3 linked regions of the Tribolium castaneum genome follow. The main gene of each other region encodes a partner of the protein of the gene in region 3 in a complex. Links are inferred from orthologs where the notes say so. Each region holds a gene or a part of one and is shown on either strand. Other genes may lie near its edges.

Region 1 (4,806 bases), on a different chromosome or scaffold from region 3:
TTTACTTATTGAAAGTGATGAAATTGTAGACTAGTGAACAGTTGGCCAGTGACCCCACAGTCATCGGACGCAAGAAAAAAAGAATAGCGCCACAACCGTCAGGTCACTTGATTTAATTCCGTATTTAATTTTTTGTTAAATATTGTAATTTAGGTGACGGCGTTGGTCACTTCTCTGAGGAGGATTTAAGTGCCCAAGAATTGATCGATTTTTCGCCGATTTATCGCAGTTTGCATATTTCAACAGTGCTTAATACGAGGGCCACTTTCGAGACGTACTATAGGGCCGAAAGGACGAAACAGGCCCGCTTGGTTTTACAGCCGCCCACTAATATGGTAAGTCGGCTGTGACTTGTATCGTGATCGTCTTTTGTTCCCGCAGCACGAGTGTGAAGAGAGCTACCGTGCCTACATTCACGCCGTCCTCGGTTTCTTTATTTTGGAGGATCACGTGTTAAACACCGGGAACGGGCTCATAACCCGCGCCTTCTTGGACGAAATGTGGACGATGGCGTTGTCAAAAATCGTCAGTGCTTTGCAAACACATTCGGTATAATTACCCGAAAAATTTGTTTACTCAATCGGTTATGAAAAAAATTTCAGGCGTATTGTACCGACGCCACCTTGATCCTGCGCATTAAAGACTTGATCATGCTTTTTTGCACGACTTTGCGTAATTATGGTTATTCGGTGAAACCGTTGTGGGAGTTGGTGCGTGAATTACGTGACCATTATACCGAAGTTTTGATGCAGAGATGGGTGCAAGTCTTTCGGGAAATTCTCTCGAAGGAGGATTTTCAGCCGATTCAAGTGTACGATCTCGAGGAGTATGAGCATATTTTGTCGTCGTTTCCATGGGACGAGGACTTGCCCAACGATGTGGTTTTCCCGCACAAGTTCCCCTTTTCGGGGATGGTGCCCAAGGTCTACCAACAAGTCAAGGAGTTTATTTACGCGTGTTTGAAATTCTCCGAGGATTTGAATTTAAGGTTTGGTTGTTGAATAATTCCAATCGAAGTGGGCTGTGACTGAATTGTAGTCAAGTGGAAGTCGACGAAATGATCCGCAAGTCGATGAATTTGCTCCTGACGCGGACGTTTAGCGGTTGTTTGTCGTCAACGTTTCGTAGCCCGCACATCAATCTTCAGGAAATTATCCAAATAATCATCGATACGGGCTATTTGGAGGAAGCCACGGTCTACTTGGACCAGTTTATTTCAAATATTACAGGGTAGGGCACAAAATTAATCCGCCAATAAAAACAAAACATTTAGGGAGGAGTCTCGAGGGGTGTCCACGGGAGTGGTCCAAGGCCAACCAGCCATGTTCCGCGTGGCTCGTGAAGACGCCGTGCGCCAAATTTGCGAAAAATTGCGCCAAAAATTGAACGAGTTTTACGAATTGGAGAGTTATGATTGGCTGTTGGGTGAGCCGTCAGGACACGCCTCTAGTTACATCTCCGATTTGATTGCTTTCCTCCAGACGACGTTTCAGAGTTTCACCAATTTACCGGTTTGTTGATTGGTTTTGTTGATTTTTTATCGAGTGATTTGTAGCCGGAGGTGGCGCAAGTTGCGTGTAAGTCGGCGTGTGAACACATTGCCAATTCGATGTTTCAACTGTTGATGAATGACGAGATCAAGCAAATTTCCATGGGGGCCTTAAACCAAATCAATTTAGATTTACTACAGTGTGAACGTAATTAATCGAAAAATGATAACCGGAAATTTAAACAAGTTTTACAGAATTTGCGGCCTCTGAGCCCGTCAAAGGCCTACAAGAGGACGTCCTCTTGTCGTATTTTACCAAACTACGGGAGACTTTAGACCTGTTCACGTCATGGGACTGGCCCACTTATTTCCACGACTATGGGCAAGAAACCAGCAAATATAAGCAAGTCAATCCAGATGATGCGATAGTATTGCTCGAAAAGTAACAAATCGGGTTATTAAACCACAAGTTAATTGATTCTTGTAGATTGAAAGAAGGCGATAAGAAAACTATGTTCACAGTATTGAAAAAGAACGAAAGAGACAAGAAGAAGTTACTGGAAACGGTCCTAAAACAACTGAGACAGCTGACCCAAATAACGCCCAACAAATAACCGACTTGTTGAATTAAATAATAAATTTTATTAATTATTCGGTGTTTTAATTTTTGTGGCCAACTTGGCCACCAAATTTAAAAAAGTAACAACTTGGCGTTTGCGCATGCGCATTGCCAACATAACCATCAAATTTGCGGTGTGGTTTTTCCCCTTAAAACAGTTAAAAATTGCAAAAAACCGTGAACTAACTGTAGAAAAATGCAAGTGCCCCCTGTCTTTATCGACGTGAGTCCCGAGGACCAGGTAGGCGCCCATTTGTGGCATTTTGTGTCCATATGACACTTTGAGGTTATGTTTTAGGCGCAAGAGCTCCGCATTTACTTAAAAAGTTTAGGCGCTGAAATTTCGGAGGAAAAATCAGTCAAGGGCATCGAAGACGACCTACACAAAATAATCGGCGTATGCGAGGCCTGTTTCAAGGAGGGCCAGGAGCCCGAAGTTGAGATGGTGCTCAACGACATTGTCTCAATCATGGTGCTTGTAAGTGTCTCGAATCATTTGCGCGTGGTATTGGACGTGTTTTAGATCCCGGCCGACCGGTCCGAGAACATCATCCTGGCCTTTTGCCAGAAGCTGCTCAAGGCTCAGGGCCCCAAACTGGGGCTGGTGTGCCTGCGCGCCTTGTGGCTGCTGTTCCAGTCGCTTGACGAGACGTCCCCCATGCGCTACCACGTCTACTACCACTTGATTTTAATTGCGGAGAAAACGGACCAGGTCAAGTCGGTGTTCCAGGATATCGAGCATTTGAAGCAACAGTTCGCCCCGTGTCCACCGACAAGCGAGCAGTTGCAGATTCTGTACCGGTTGTTGCACCAGGTGCTGCTAAAGAGCAACCACAGTGAGCAGGCTGCCAAGGTCATGATCGAACTTTTGGGGACCTACACCGATAAGAACGCCTCGCATGCCCGCGAGGACGCGATCAAGTGCATCGTCTCGGCCCTGGGGGACCCCAACACCTTCCTCCTCGACCCCTTACTGGCCCTAAAGCCGGTCAAATTTCTCGAAGGGGAGCTAATCCACGACTTGCTTAATATCTTTGTCAGCGAAAATTTGGCAACGTATTTGAAATTCTACCAAGAACACAAGGAGTTTGTCACGTCGCAGGGGTTGAACCACGAGAAGAACATGCAAAAGATGCGGTTGTTGTCCTTCATGCAACTCGCTGAGACCAACCCGGAGATCAGTTTTGACGTGATTGAGAGAGAGTTGCAGATCAAGGCTGAGGAGGTCGAGGCGTTTATTATCGAAGTCTTGAAGACTAAACTGGTGAGGGCCCGCATGGACCAAGCCGCTCGGAAAGTCTACGTCTCAAGCACCATGCATAGGACTTTTGGGCGCGCCCAGTGGCAACAATTGAGGGATTTGCTCCACTCGTGGAAAAGCAACCTCAGCATGGTCCAGGAAGGGATGAAGAACGTCACAGCGGCACAGCTCGAAATGTTGAACCAACAATAATTGTTTTGTAGCGATTAATTTAAGAATAAAAATTTTGGAACTAGTTGGGGATTTTTATTTTAATACCACGTCAAGTAACTAACTAAATTTGCTGCTTAAACTACGAAAATTACATTATTGCGCCCCATAATTTAATGTGGGGGTTTCACCCGCCACGTGTCGCACGTTCCTTGCCCCCAATCGGGGTCAAGAGCCGCCGGTGCCGTTTCATGTTGGCAGCACTGTGTGGTGTTGTGGCCGCTGATTCCGATTTTGTGGGAATTCCGTGCCTTCTTCTGATGCAATCACAGTTTAATTTCCGCTAGATAACACCGAAGAGTGCGTTTTGGTGTTGGTGTGTTAAATAATTGCAAATTTGGTGGTTGGAGTTAGGTTATGTCGAAACGTGTGCAGCCCCCGTGGTCGGCGCCGGAGGCGTCTGGCGGTCCGGTCCTGAAAGTGTTCAATAGTCTGACGCGTCAGAAGGAGGTGTTTAGGCCGATTTCGGGCAAAAAAGTGACTTGGTACAGTTGCGGGCCGACTGTTTACGACGCCTCGCACATGGGGCACGCCAGATCGTACATAACTTTTGATATTTTGAGGCGCGTCCTTGCCGATTATTTCGGTTATGATATTTTTTTCGTGATGAATATTACGGATATTGACGATAAAATCATAAAAAGGGCGCGTCAGAACTACTTGTTTGAGAGGTATGTTGGGGAGGAGAGGTCGTTACAGGAGGTTTTAAGTGACGCAAAGTTGGTATGGTTGTTTGTATTTTGTGGTGGTCACATTGTAACGGGGGTTTACAGGTTTTGGAGAAATTGGCTGAGACCACACAAAATGCCTTTGATCCCGATAAGAAACAAATGTATGAGAAACTTCTAGTCAAGTAAGCTATTTTGGCATTTTTTGTATATAGATGATTAAATTAATTTTTCAACTAGTCTCACTAAATCGGTTGAAGAATTGGAAAATGCGGTCAAAAGTGGTGATAATACGAAAATTGAAAACGCAAAGAAAAATTACATAGTGCGGAGTAAAGACCCACTGTCTGATTGGCTGGATTGTAAATTTGGGGCCACAATTACAGACAATGCGATTTTTACGTCATTACCACAGCACTGGGAACAAGAATTTCACAAAGACATGGAGGCTCTAAATGTACGTATTTTCGCAGCAAAAGTTGTACAAGTGCTACTTTTTGTCCGAATACAGGACAAGGTTTAGAGAAGAACGAGTGAGAAAATAATTTTGGTCAAAACC
Region 2 (4,936 bases), on a different chromosome or scaffold from region 3:
GCACAAGGGGCTGCTGTGGCACGGCGGCCGCTGGACGCACTACACCAAGCCCTTCCGGGAGAACATGGCCACCAAGATCGGCGTGCTCTTCGACGGCATCGCCGGCACGCTGAGCTACTACAAGGACGAGAAGTACCTGGGGGTGGCCTTCCGGGGGCTCAACGAGGTCAAGGAGCCCCTTTACCCCATTATTTGCTCCACGGCCGCCAAGACTGAGATGTATCTGGATTCGATGAAGAGGGACTTCGTCAATTTGCAGGACAGGTGCAGGGCGGTGATCGTCAAGAGGATTAGGAGTAAGCAGGATTTGGAAAAATTGTTCGTTCCGACTAAAATTAGGAGTTATTTGGCTGAGGCGATTGTTGACAGTGTTGAGCCGTTCAAACCCGTCAATCACAACACGATTTCGATTAATGTCGGGAATATGTAGGCGTTTGATTCGACAAGTGAATCACGTGGATAAATAAAAGGCAAACTAAATACTTTTATTGTTGGTCCACACTGTATATGTATTTGTACCAAAAGGTTTTCTCGGTACGTGTGTATAGAAATGTAAAACCGTGGATTTGTCCATGTGCCATTTTAAAATTCTGTAAATACGATAAATGGGACGACGCCAGTGGTGAATGTTACCTAGAGTCTAGTCGTAGTGTTAAGCTATTTTATCAATGTAAAATGGGGAATTTTTTCAAATGAATTAATCAACATTTTTATACTCATGACACGATTTTTCTTATTGATTGAACTGCTAATAGCGTAATACGAAACGATTTATTGTGATTGATTATCTAGTCTTGTTTTGTTGTTGTTTTTCGTGTGTTGTTTGTTATTGGTTTGTATGAGTTTGAGAAAGTTGCACAAAAAAGTGTGTACATTTTGGCCAGTTTGTGCAATAGAAATGTAAATAAATAAAATTCATTTCTTTAGGTTCGTAAGACTGTAATGACTAAATTGATGTTTAGGGCAATTGAATACATTATTTTTTAAAAGCTGTGTCCTTTATTTCAATCAAAAAACAACAAAATCAACATAAACGATGAAAAGGTTGCGAATATGACTTTCTCCACTGTTGGTTTAGTACCATTTTTTAAGGGGATGATTAAACGTTCAAACGTAGAAATTTCACAGAAGAGACGCCACCACAAAACCTACTGACTGCGCCAATTAAGCTTTATTACGCCTGGTTTAAATAAAACCCAAACTCATTGTATATTATTTTATTGTAAAACAACGTAACAAAACAGTTCAAGGATTAGAATTCGCCTCCTTGGCGTTCTGCAACGCTTGCGTAATATACAACTTAGCCAAACTCTGCGAGCACAACTGGGAAATGGCCTGACTATACGTATTAATCTGTCCCGCGATAATCATCGGGTTCAGCCTCGGGGGCACCGGATGTGGCCTAAACAGCTTATTAATGTCCTCTTCGGGCAATGGGGGCTCGTCTTTCGCGGCCCTAGCCGCATTTTCCTGCGCCCTCTTTTGCAAATATCTGTGTTTGTCTTGCTGTTGCCGGCTGACCAACTGTTGGTATCTATTAAACTTGATCGCTTCTTGGTTGAGTTCGTCAACTCGGTCCATGAGGCAGCGCAATTGCCCCTCGAGGACGGAGGCGGTTCCCAAATCTAAAAATTTCGAGCCTTCTTCTTCCGGGACAAGTTCTTGCAATTCGGACATCATGATGTTGGTCAAGGCGGAGTTTTTAATAACGAAGGGGACCTCGATGAAGAGGTTCTCGTATCCGACTTTGAGCTTCAAGAGGGCCTCGGGCGTGAATTCGCCCTCCTTGTACATCTCAATGGCTTGAGGCGTCAAACGGTAGGCTTTAAGTGTGAGGAACCCGCGCGAGGATTTTTGAGTGTCGTAAATCACAACGACGGATTCCTCGATTGAGGTTTGGTAGTGGAATTGCGATTCGAGAAGAGGGAGGCTGAGGAAGTTCCCGACGTCGGCGCTTTGGTACCACCCCACATGGAAGTGGTCGACGTTGACGCGTCGCAGGCGCCGCATCATCGCTAGCTGGTACTCGTCCTCGTCCATTGTCTCGTCGGTTTGTTTCGGGAATGGGAAACAATTCGTGATTTCCAGCCGGTTTTCAACGACAAGGCCGAGAAGGGCCCCCTGGGCTATGTCCATGTTAGTGGTCGATTCCTCATGGCAGTGTTTTACGATCTTCATGACGGCCTGAAAGAGGTTAGGTTCCGTATGTTAGGTATTAATTACTAACTGAGGTAGCCAAAGTGTGACTTTTGGGTTTAAATAAACTGAAGGGATATTTACCAAGCCGTCGGCTTGCACGTAAGCAATCGTCGAGTCATTTTCAGGCACACGCCTCGAAGCAGCCCCACGAGACGCCATTTTAAACTGCCAAAAATACCTGCCAATGTAGCGCAAACAAAAACTCCACAATTGCTACAAAAACACAATTTTCGTAAAAATTGCCAGCCGATAATGGCCTTATTTAACGATTACGTTGTTTGTTACCAAATTTTGTAGCAGCTAACACAATCTCGTGTTTTTTGGACGTGAAATAATTATTATATTAGTGTTTTAGGCTGATCTAGTCGGTGTCTAAATTCCCCTACGTTTCCACCAGTCCCACCTGTCATTGGAAATTTATCAGCTGACGAGAGCATTAGAAAGCAAAATAAATGGCTGGTTTAAGACAAATATCATGTTTTTGGTATTTAGTGGTGTTTGCGGGGCTGTGTTTTCTCGAATCAAACGGTAACGTAGCAGCTGAAGACGTCCTCCCGTCGAAGCTAAGTCAAAATGTTGGGGCCCCAACCTTAAAATTTTTGTATTGGTATGTTCCCCTAGCCCCAATATCATAATCTAATTATTTAATTTAGTTATTCGTGTGGTTACCGGAAAACGTTCGAGCAGTACGTAAAAATCGTTGGGGACAAATACCCTTTTATAGCCGTTGATGGCCAAAATTACGACCCCCCAGGCTTGAACATGTATTTGGCCAGACTTATTGTAAGTATGATATAATGAGTGAAAGTTGATGATTATGCGTTTTCAGGGCATCGTTAAAATGGTGATAATCGTGTGTATTTTGGGGGCTATTAACATATTTGAATACATTAACCAACCACAGCCTTCATGGTGGATTTGGTGCACAGAAAACAAGCTTTATGCTTGCATGATGCTGTTCTTTGTGTGTAATATTATCGAAGGACAGTTGATTCAATCGGGGGCTTTTGAAATCTCACTGAATGACGTTCCTGTTTGGTCCAAACTGGAGACGGGCAGGATACCACAACCTGCAGAGCTTTTCCAAATCATCGATAATCATATGCAGTTCACTGACAGCAAAATTGAACTGAGCAACGGATTCCCGAAGTAAAGTTACTATAAATTTCGAAAATGATTGTTTTGTTATCAGATTGTTCTTTTTTAAATTTGTTGTGAGTCTGGTAGTGTCATTCTATAATTTTTTGTCTGGTCACTATCACACAGCGTTCAGTATGTTTGAATGTATGATTTATAAATAACTAGATTTGTGATAAGTAAAAGTTGTACATAAAGAAATTGTCTTCTTATTTGATACCTAATAAAACCCAAAAACTCATCGTTTTTATGATTTATTCATTTGTTACATTACAAAATCATTTGGCAGTGTTTAATAGAAAGGCACATAAAATATGAATCACATTTTCCTGTCGTAAGCCTTAAAACTAATTAGCACCTTTGAGATAAAAAAGATCAAAAACAAGCAAGAATTCAAGTATTAAAAAAATAAATTCTATACAAAGAGCCACTGTCGTAATCGCTTAAATAAAATTAAGAACCTAAATCCTTACAAGTAAAAAATATTCTAATAGGATTTGTGTTTGAACACGGCGTACGTTCCTTCTCAAGGACAAATGTTAACATCAAATCTATGTTACAATTAATTTACACATAATTACAAAGTTAATAACTGTTATGGCACGTCGATCACGGCGTATTTTGCGGTCTCCTGTGTCTCAATCTCTGCCTCAAACGCCTCCTCCTATTCTCTTCCAAGTTCCTGTAACTTCCTGGTGGATAGCCTGGGGGCCGATACGGGGTCCCGTATGTGGGTCTTGTGATTCGACTAGGGGTGACAATTGCAGTGCGACTGGTGTACCGTCTGCGGATGCAAACGGCGCATCTGCTGACTCTTGAGGTCAAATAGCCGGCTTTGAGAGTCTCCGAACGCGGTTTTTGGAACATGGCTGAATCCTCTATGGTGGCCAGCCAGTAGGACAGGATGGTGGTGTAGTAGTTGCAGCGGCCGTGACCGTGGCATTCGATGAAGGGTTTGGGGCGGAACTCTTCGAGGCATGAGCCGGGGGAGACGAGGGATTGGCCTGAGCCTTCGGCACCGGCGTCCACGTGCTGCAATATATGTTAAACAAATGTGGGTTCGAGGGGGTGAAGAGAGTTACCATAAGGAAGCTGTATCCGGCCCAGAGTTCGTCCCAGCCGTTGGGACACTGTGGGATGGTTGTCGATTGACTGTGGACGGCGATGACACGTGTGACAGATTCGCAAACGGAGCATCTGAAAGCAAAACGGTTAAAAATGTACAAAAATAGAATATGTTCGTTCATACCTTGAAATATAGCGTCTGACTTCTGGTGCTGGGATGGGTGTCATCATTGCCGGCATTGGCTCTGTCGTAGACAACCAGTAACTGTACCCATTGTTCTGTGCGTAGTCGCAAACATCGTTCAAATTACAAAACAGGAACGGCATAGTATTAAATCTCCTCAAACAACTCGCTGGCGTCCCCAAATCTTGCCCCATGGCCTTATCATTCCCCATAATATGTAACAACGAATAGCCGTCCCACAATTTAACCGTATCTCTAGGACACACTGGAATTAATTCTGACTGCGAATGTCTCGTAAAGAAAAATCCTCGACTTTTGGGGGCCGGTGGTGGCGGTGCTGGCTCGCCCCTA
Region 3 (5,677 bases):
TTTTTGGATTAATTCTTTTTGGTAAGTTTCAATTTTATTCAGTTAATTATGTTTTTTATGAGTGGTTTGGACCACTTTTATTTTTTTCATTTGGGTACAAATGCGTCTTTATGGAAACGCTACTTCACAAAATACAGCTTAATGTGTTTGAAAAAATTAGAAAGATATTTCGCTTAACTCCACAATGTGAATTCATAAGTGAAATATTTCGAAAACTACTGTGGGTATAGGGCTCCTGTTGTTGATAAAAACAAAACTAAAACATTTAAGATATTGGAAAAGACAATAACAAACATATTGTATAAGTGCGGCAATAAATTATATAGTTCATTCAAAAAAAAAAAAAATAAAGTAACAAACCTTTCCCCCCTCCATTATTTCATTCGTGGAAGAATAACAAATTAGTTTCGAGGGAAAAATAGTTTAAAAAGCTGATGTTTTGTAAAATGAAAAAAATTATTAAAGTGCACTTATCTTCATGGCATCTACTTCCGCTACAATATGTAGCAATAAGGTATTGCAAATAAATAAAAACCAAGTTAATATTATGTCATTATTATACCTACCATTCCACATTTCACTTACAATATGTTAATTGTATCACATATTCAATCCCACTTGGAGATGAGCAATTGAAAAAATACACTTTACGACATCATAAACTCAAATGTCATCAAATTAGTTTGAAAATTTTATAAAGTAGTTAATCTGTTGTAAAATGTTGCACTCAAACGATTATAACTTTTCAACATCTCAAATTGTGTGGGTTCGAGTAAAAATAAAACTGTTAATTTGATTTAGTTATTGAATGTTGGAACGTATTAACAAAAAAAGAATGAATCATACGATAATATGACATCTTACGTCATAAAAATGTGCTGATAATCTTGAATAAGTAAATTCTAAACCTAATAAAGTAAATCCGCAACAAAATAGAATAATGCACTTACCTTTATTTTTCTTTTGTTGTGAATACGACAGCTTTACTTTCTTTGTTGAAAAAAATTAAAAAATGCGTGAGCAAATGCACCTTGCTGCTGCTACACGACAAGAGTCCGTTTTATTTTTTTTTCACTTGTTGGTTAATACTATGCACGAGAATTAACTGCAAATTATTATTTATTGATCATTTTATTTCGGCCTTTCGCTAATACATGATAAAAATACAAAATCTAGCGTTTCGCACTGTTGGTGTATGGATAAAGGGTCTGGAAAGTCACGGAATCAGGGGGCACCTCATCCTCCGACTCCGACTCCCCGTCCGATTCGAACGTATTATCCGGAATATCGTACAACCGGATCATCGGCTTATTCGGATCTTTCATAATCAAATACTTCCCATCCTTCTGTTTCATAACAATGTCAATAATACACCGCAGAATCCCCCACGCATTATCCATATTCAGATTAATCTGAGTGGCAAACTCGTGCGGCTTATACTGCTGTGTACCCAGAATAACATGCTTGCTGTTATCCCTGACATGGGCCCGGGAAACATAACCGAATTTAATTTGGTCGCTGCCAGCCAGCAACGCCTGAACGGTCCATTTGGCCAGCTTGCAGGCGTTATTACGCAGCTCATTGGCCAAAACGGCGCCTCTCTGGGTGTCCAGTTTCTGGCGCCACTCCACCCCATTGGCCAATTTGGAATCCCATTCGTTCAAGGCCTTGATTGACAGGAATTGGAGCTCGCCATTCGGGGACTGGACCACGGCATCGTGTTCGCAACGGACAACCAAAAACTACACAAATTAAACGTGGACAGAAACAAAACGAAAAAATTACTATTCCGCTCCCTAGGTCATATTTGCGGTATCTGTAGGCCACACTGGCGACCTCCCCTTCCTCCTCCTCGGAGATAAAAGGGTTTGGGTTGTCGAACTTGAAGCGGGGCTCCCCGGTACCTGTTCTTAATACCTGTTGACTGAAATTGTGGTTAATGAAAGTGGCTTCCAAGGCCAGGTTTCGAGGGGAGTTTAAGGAGTTGCCGTCGTCTTGTGGGGGCTCCACGGACGTTTCGTTGACGGTTAAAAGATCAAACTCCGTATTGTCACGCTTATCAAAGAAGAGTTTATCGCCTGAAAAATTTTGTTTGAGATTTGTTACACTTGTAAGGGCACAGTACCAATTTTTTCAATCACGATGTCCCAGGAATAATTCGAGCGAGTGCAGCACATGATGGTCGCAAGGATCGCATCAGTGGCGTACACATTGCCCTCCGTTTTACTCAACTTACGGATAATCGGATCATCAGTTGTTGTAACCTGAGGATAATTAATTTTAATTTTTTGCCATCAATGATATTAAAAATAACCCACTGTATGGAAGATACGATTGACGCTTTGCAGCGGCTTCTCATTCTTCACGTTGACACGATCGTACGACTTGTCATAGTACTCCAACTCGCCACAACAAGTAATATCCTCGCCTAAAAACCAAAATAGAAAAATTCGCATTGCTTAATTAAACCAACCGTCTTTGACGTTAGGGAGCGACAATTTTCCCAACCGAGGGAAATCCATTTCCTCAATGGTGACCCAATCCGGTTTGACCGTAACCGAAGCGTCCCTGATCTTAATCTGGGGCTAAAACCGCCAACTATATTGCGGTAAAACTCAAGCGAGATCTTACCCGTCCTTGTCCCCATTTCTTAACCTGGCTCCTCTTATACGTGTCCCTGGCTTTAACCCCCTTCCCGAGGGACTGCATGCCGCTGCCTTGCACCCCAGCACGGCCGCCACGCCCGCGCAAGTTGCGCTGGTTCGCGCGGAAGCGCCCCCGTTGATAGGGGGGCTTCTGGACGCGTGTTGTGTCCACCAAATGAAAAGTGCTCTCGTCTTCGTCATGATAATACGCGTATTGACTGCCAGAACCGAACTGGGACGCATACTTGTCTAAAATTGCGAAAAATAAGTCACTTAACCTCAAATTTGACATGTGTCAATGTCAGACTAACTGGCATATTTCTTGTCTTGGAAGGCGGCCCCCGTCCAGTCGCTGATTTTGCCGAGACGGTCGCCTTTGCTGAAGGGCTGGTACGGCATATCTTTGAACTGGTCGGGCAGCTCGCAGGGCCCCCATCCAGTCGGGTTGTCCTGGATTACGGGGGCCACGAATTTGGGGACCTCACCCGCTGATTGACCATCAGTCATAGTCATTTGACTTGCTTTCAGAAGTTAGGAAGTGTTCAATTCAATATGTTGAAGCAGAAACCGCGAGTTGTGCACAACACTTGGCAAAAAGAAATGTGCGCGCGCAGATTCTGACAATCGACAGTTTTTGAAATTCGGCGCTTTTGAAATCAAAATAACATGGCCAACTTACATCAAATGTCGCTGCGCTTGAGAAAACATTTTCATCCACTTTTTTTTCAATTTAATTCTCTAATTTTTGTTTACGTGTTGTTTCACTTACCTTTTCTACACTTTTTTTCAGAAAAAAATTGTCACCCTGATCCGCAGCGACATTTGATGTAAGTTGGCGATGCTAAATAATAATGGAATCCTGTTAAAAATCCTTCACTCTTGGGTTTCCAATTAATTTTAAATTAAATTTTTTCCATTACAACCTAATTGATTTATTGCATTGTTAATAACTAATATTTAACTTGGAAAAACAGCAAGAAAATAAGCTCTAATGGCAATAAGGCATTATTTTTTTCTATTTTGGTGTCTCACTAACTTTATTTTGCATAAAAACTCATTGCCATCACAAAGAACGCAACAGCGCAAAAATTTGTATTGAATTCAAATTCTTCTACACGTAACTTCACTTTTTCGTAGTATATTTTACGTCCCCTATTATTGCGTATTGACGATGACATCAGATTTCTCTCAGCAAAGAGAACACTGATAAGGAGTGGGTTTAATAAGCTCGCATTTGCATAACACACATTTATTTATAATAAATTTAAATACGAATTTGTAAATATTATGCCTGGCACACATCTGTACAAAAAGTGCCCATAAAATACAAGCAATACCGTTATCATGTCCACGACAATGAATAAATAACACATTTTGACTCCATATTTACAACATGCTGTCTGTGACTTCGCCCGGATTCTCCAGCGCGGCTTTGCGTTCGCTGACAGCGGTCACAAGTTTCCTGTACGGCCCTAGGGGCAAGTTCAGGCTTTGGAGATCGTTTTCTGTCAGTATCATCAGCGTTTCCAGGTCGATTTTCTGCTCCTCGAAGCGGGGAAGGTACTCTCCTAGCCCCCAGGCGGTCAAGAAGCGTTCCAGGGGAGCGTTCGGGTTATCGTCGTCGCTGGACTCGGGGTCTGATAACTCGTCTTCGATTGATAGAGTGTTGGTTCTGGGGCCGTAGCTTTCCCCTGACCCGATTGAACTCTCCTCGTTGGGGCCTTCGCTGGAGTAGAAGCCTTGGAATGTGTTGGTTATGCTCTTTCTAAATAAAAAACGTGTTTTTGTGCTTTCGCATATTGATTATTTGTTACCGGAACGCTATGCTTCCAATTCCTGGGCGCACGAAAATACTCGCTGGTTCTTGTTGGAGTTTAGTGTCGCCGTTTGTTTCCAATTCGTGCATGAAGTCAGGCTGGGAGATGGACCTTGTGAGGCCGTTGCTGGACGGTGGTGGCGGCGGAGACGACTCTATGTACTCAGCTTCGTTGAAGACCGATTCCAGACGGCCTCTCCTGCCATCGATGGTCCCCGTGTAAAGTACCTCAGAGTCTCGCCGATACCCCGTTAGTGATCTGACTGAGCGTTTGCCGTCTTCAATTTCACTAATCTGGAACGAGTTTTTCAAATAAATGCTTATTTACTCTCGGGAGCACCTTGAAGTCGTCGTCGAAGCCAGGCCGCGTTGTTCGGCTGGCGAGCACCCGCTTCTGCACCGACCCCAAATTCCGCATCCCGGAAACGGTCCCGTTGCCCACGATGGTGCTGAACCTCGGAGGGGCCGGCCCCAGATTCGACAAGTTCGACATGGACCCACTTTTAATTCTGGTTTTGAGCGTCTCTATCATCGACGGCCTGTGGTGACCTTTGTTCATACGTTTCTCCAGCTTCTCTTGAACTTGCTCTTTTTTGACTTGGCGTTTGTTGAATTCCTGAAAAGAAAGTGAAACGATTGGTTTCTCTCGACGGGGCCGTGTTTTACTTTGATGCGTTTTTCTGACTCTTTCTTTGCTTTTTCTTTGAGTGCTTTGGCTTTCTTTTTGTCGCCGGCCTCCAGTTTGGCGTGGACGCCGTCCAAGAACCGCAGGATGTCGTCGCGGTTGTTCATTCCGGCGAGTTCTTGGGCGGTGCGGCCGTCGATATCAGTCGAGTAAATGTTGGCTCCGAAATTGACTAGGAATGTGACGATGTGTTTGTGGCCCTGCGCCGCGGCCAAGTGCAGGGCCGTGTTGCCGAAGAGGTCGGCTTTGTCCGGGTCTCCCCTGCAACGTATTGATACAAAAAATCCATCCGGTTTAAGCAAAACCAAATAATTTTAATAATAAACGAGTAAAATTGCAATTATTAAACCTTATCCTTTGTAAATTAAATAAAATGCCTTGAGTTCAAATTCTTTTGTAGTTAGTCTCGATAAAAGTCGGATAAAAGTGATAAAAATGTTATCTGAAAATAGAAATCTCGTGTTATTTATGATAACTGACAGTAAAATTTCTTAGGTAGTAAATTAATTTTATTCCTAATTACAATGTTGA

What was found. Proteins that work in one complex are often made in the same cells at the same time.
Region 1: eIF3d1 (region 3) and eIF3m share a complex: the UniProt entries of both Drosophila melanogaster proteins name them as parts of the eukaryotic translation initiation factor 3 (eIF-3) complex. The link is inferred for Tribolium castaneum from reciprocal best matches to the Drosophila melanogaster genes eIF3d1 and eIF3m.
Region 2: eIF3d1 (region 3) and eIF3h share a complex: the UniProt entries of both Drosophila melanogaster proteins name them as parts of the eukaryotic translation initiation factor 3 (eIF-3) complex. The link is inferred for Tribolium castaneum from reciprocal best matches to the Drosophila melanogaster genes eIF3d1 and eIF3h.

Annotation. Positions count from the first base shown.
Region 1 is NC_087400.1:753,093-757,898, reverse strand, and holds eIF3m (eukaryotic translation initiation factor 3 subunit M), read left to right. Parts: upstream 1-2,174; 5' UTR 2,175-2,304; coding exon 2,305-2,349; intron 2,350-2,406; coding exon 2,407-2,586; intron 2,587-2,631; coding exon 2,632-3,561; 3' UTR 3,562-3,604; downstream 3,605-4,806. Other genes in the region: Sec15 (exocyst complex component 6), read left to right, coding at 30-102, 154-335, 382-549, 603-988, 1,039-1,230, 1,274-1,511, 1,556-1,697, 1,745-1,931 and 1 more; CysRS (cysteine--tRNA ligase, cytoplasmic), read left to right, coding at 3,937-4,302, 4,353-4,432, 4,488-4,704. UniProt on the Drosophila melanogaster protein: Component of the eukaryotic translation initiation factor 3 (eIF-3) complex, which is involved in protein synthesis of a specialized repertoire of mRNAs and, together with other initiation factors, stimulates binding of mRNA and methionyl-tRNAi to the 40S ribosome.
Region 2 is NC_087398.1:6,460,255-6,465,190, forward strand, and holds eIF3h (eukaryotic translation initiation factor 3 subunit H), read right to left. Parts: upstream 2,509-4,936; 5' UTR 2,359-2,508; coding exon 2,281-2,358; intron 2,185-2,280; coding exon 1,246-2,184; 3' UTR 1,203-1,245; downstream 1-1,202. Other genes in the region: SP555 (SPRY domain-containing SOCS box protein 3), read left to right, coding at 1-430; SelT (thioredoxin reductase-like selenoprotein T homolog CG3887), read left to right, coding at 2,652-2,806, 2,853-2,982, 3,029-3,352; vkg (collagen alpha-2(IV) chain), read right to left, coding at 3,946-4,368, 4,419-4,533, 4,586-4,936. UniProt on the Drosophila melanogaster protein: Component of the eukaryotic translation initiation factor 3 (eIF-3) complex, which is involved in protein synthesis of a specialized repertoire of mRNAs and, together with other initiation factors, stimulates binding of mRNA and methionyl-tRNAi to the 40S ribosome.
Region 3 is NC_087399.1:4,806,818-4,812,494, reverse strand, and holds eIF3d1 (eukaryotic initiation factor 3 p66 subunit), read right to left. Parts: upstream 3,226-5,677; 5' UTR 3,159-3,225; coding exon 2,957-3,158; intron 2,895-2,956; coding exon 2,632-2,894; intron 2,586-2,631; coding exon 2,474-2,585; intron 2,429-2,473; coding exon 2,319-2,428; intron 2,265-2,318; coding exon 2,126-2,264; intron 2,079-2,125; coding exon 1,786-2,078; intron 1,743-1,785; coding exon 1,173-1,742; 3' UTR 1,116-1,172; downstream 1-1,115. Other genes in the region: Sans (ankyrin repeat and SAM domain-containing protein 4B), read right to left, coding at 4,032-4,410, 4,460-4,755, 4,802-5,077, 5,128-5,407. UniProt on the Drosophila melanogaster protein: mRNA cap-binding component of the eukaryotic translation initiation factor 3 (eIF-3) complex, which is involved in protein synthesis of a specialized repertoire of mRNAs and, together with other initiation factors, stimulates binding of mRNA and methionyl-tRNAi to the 40S ribosome.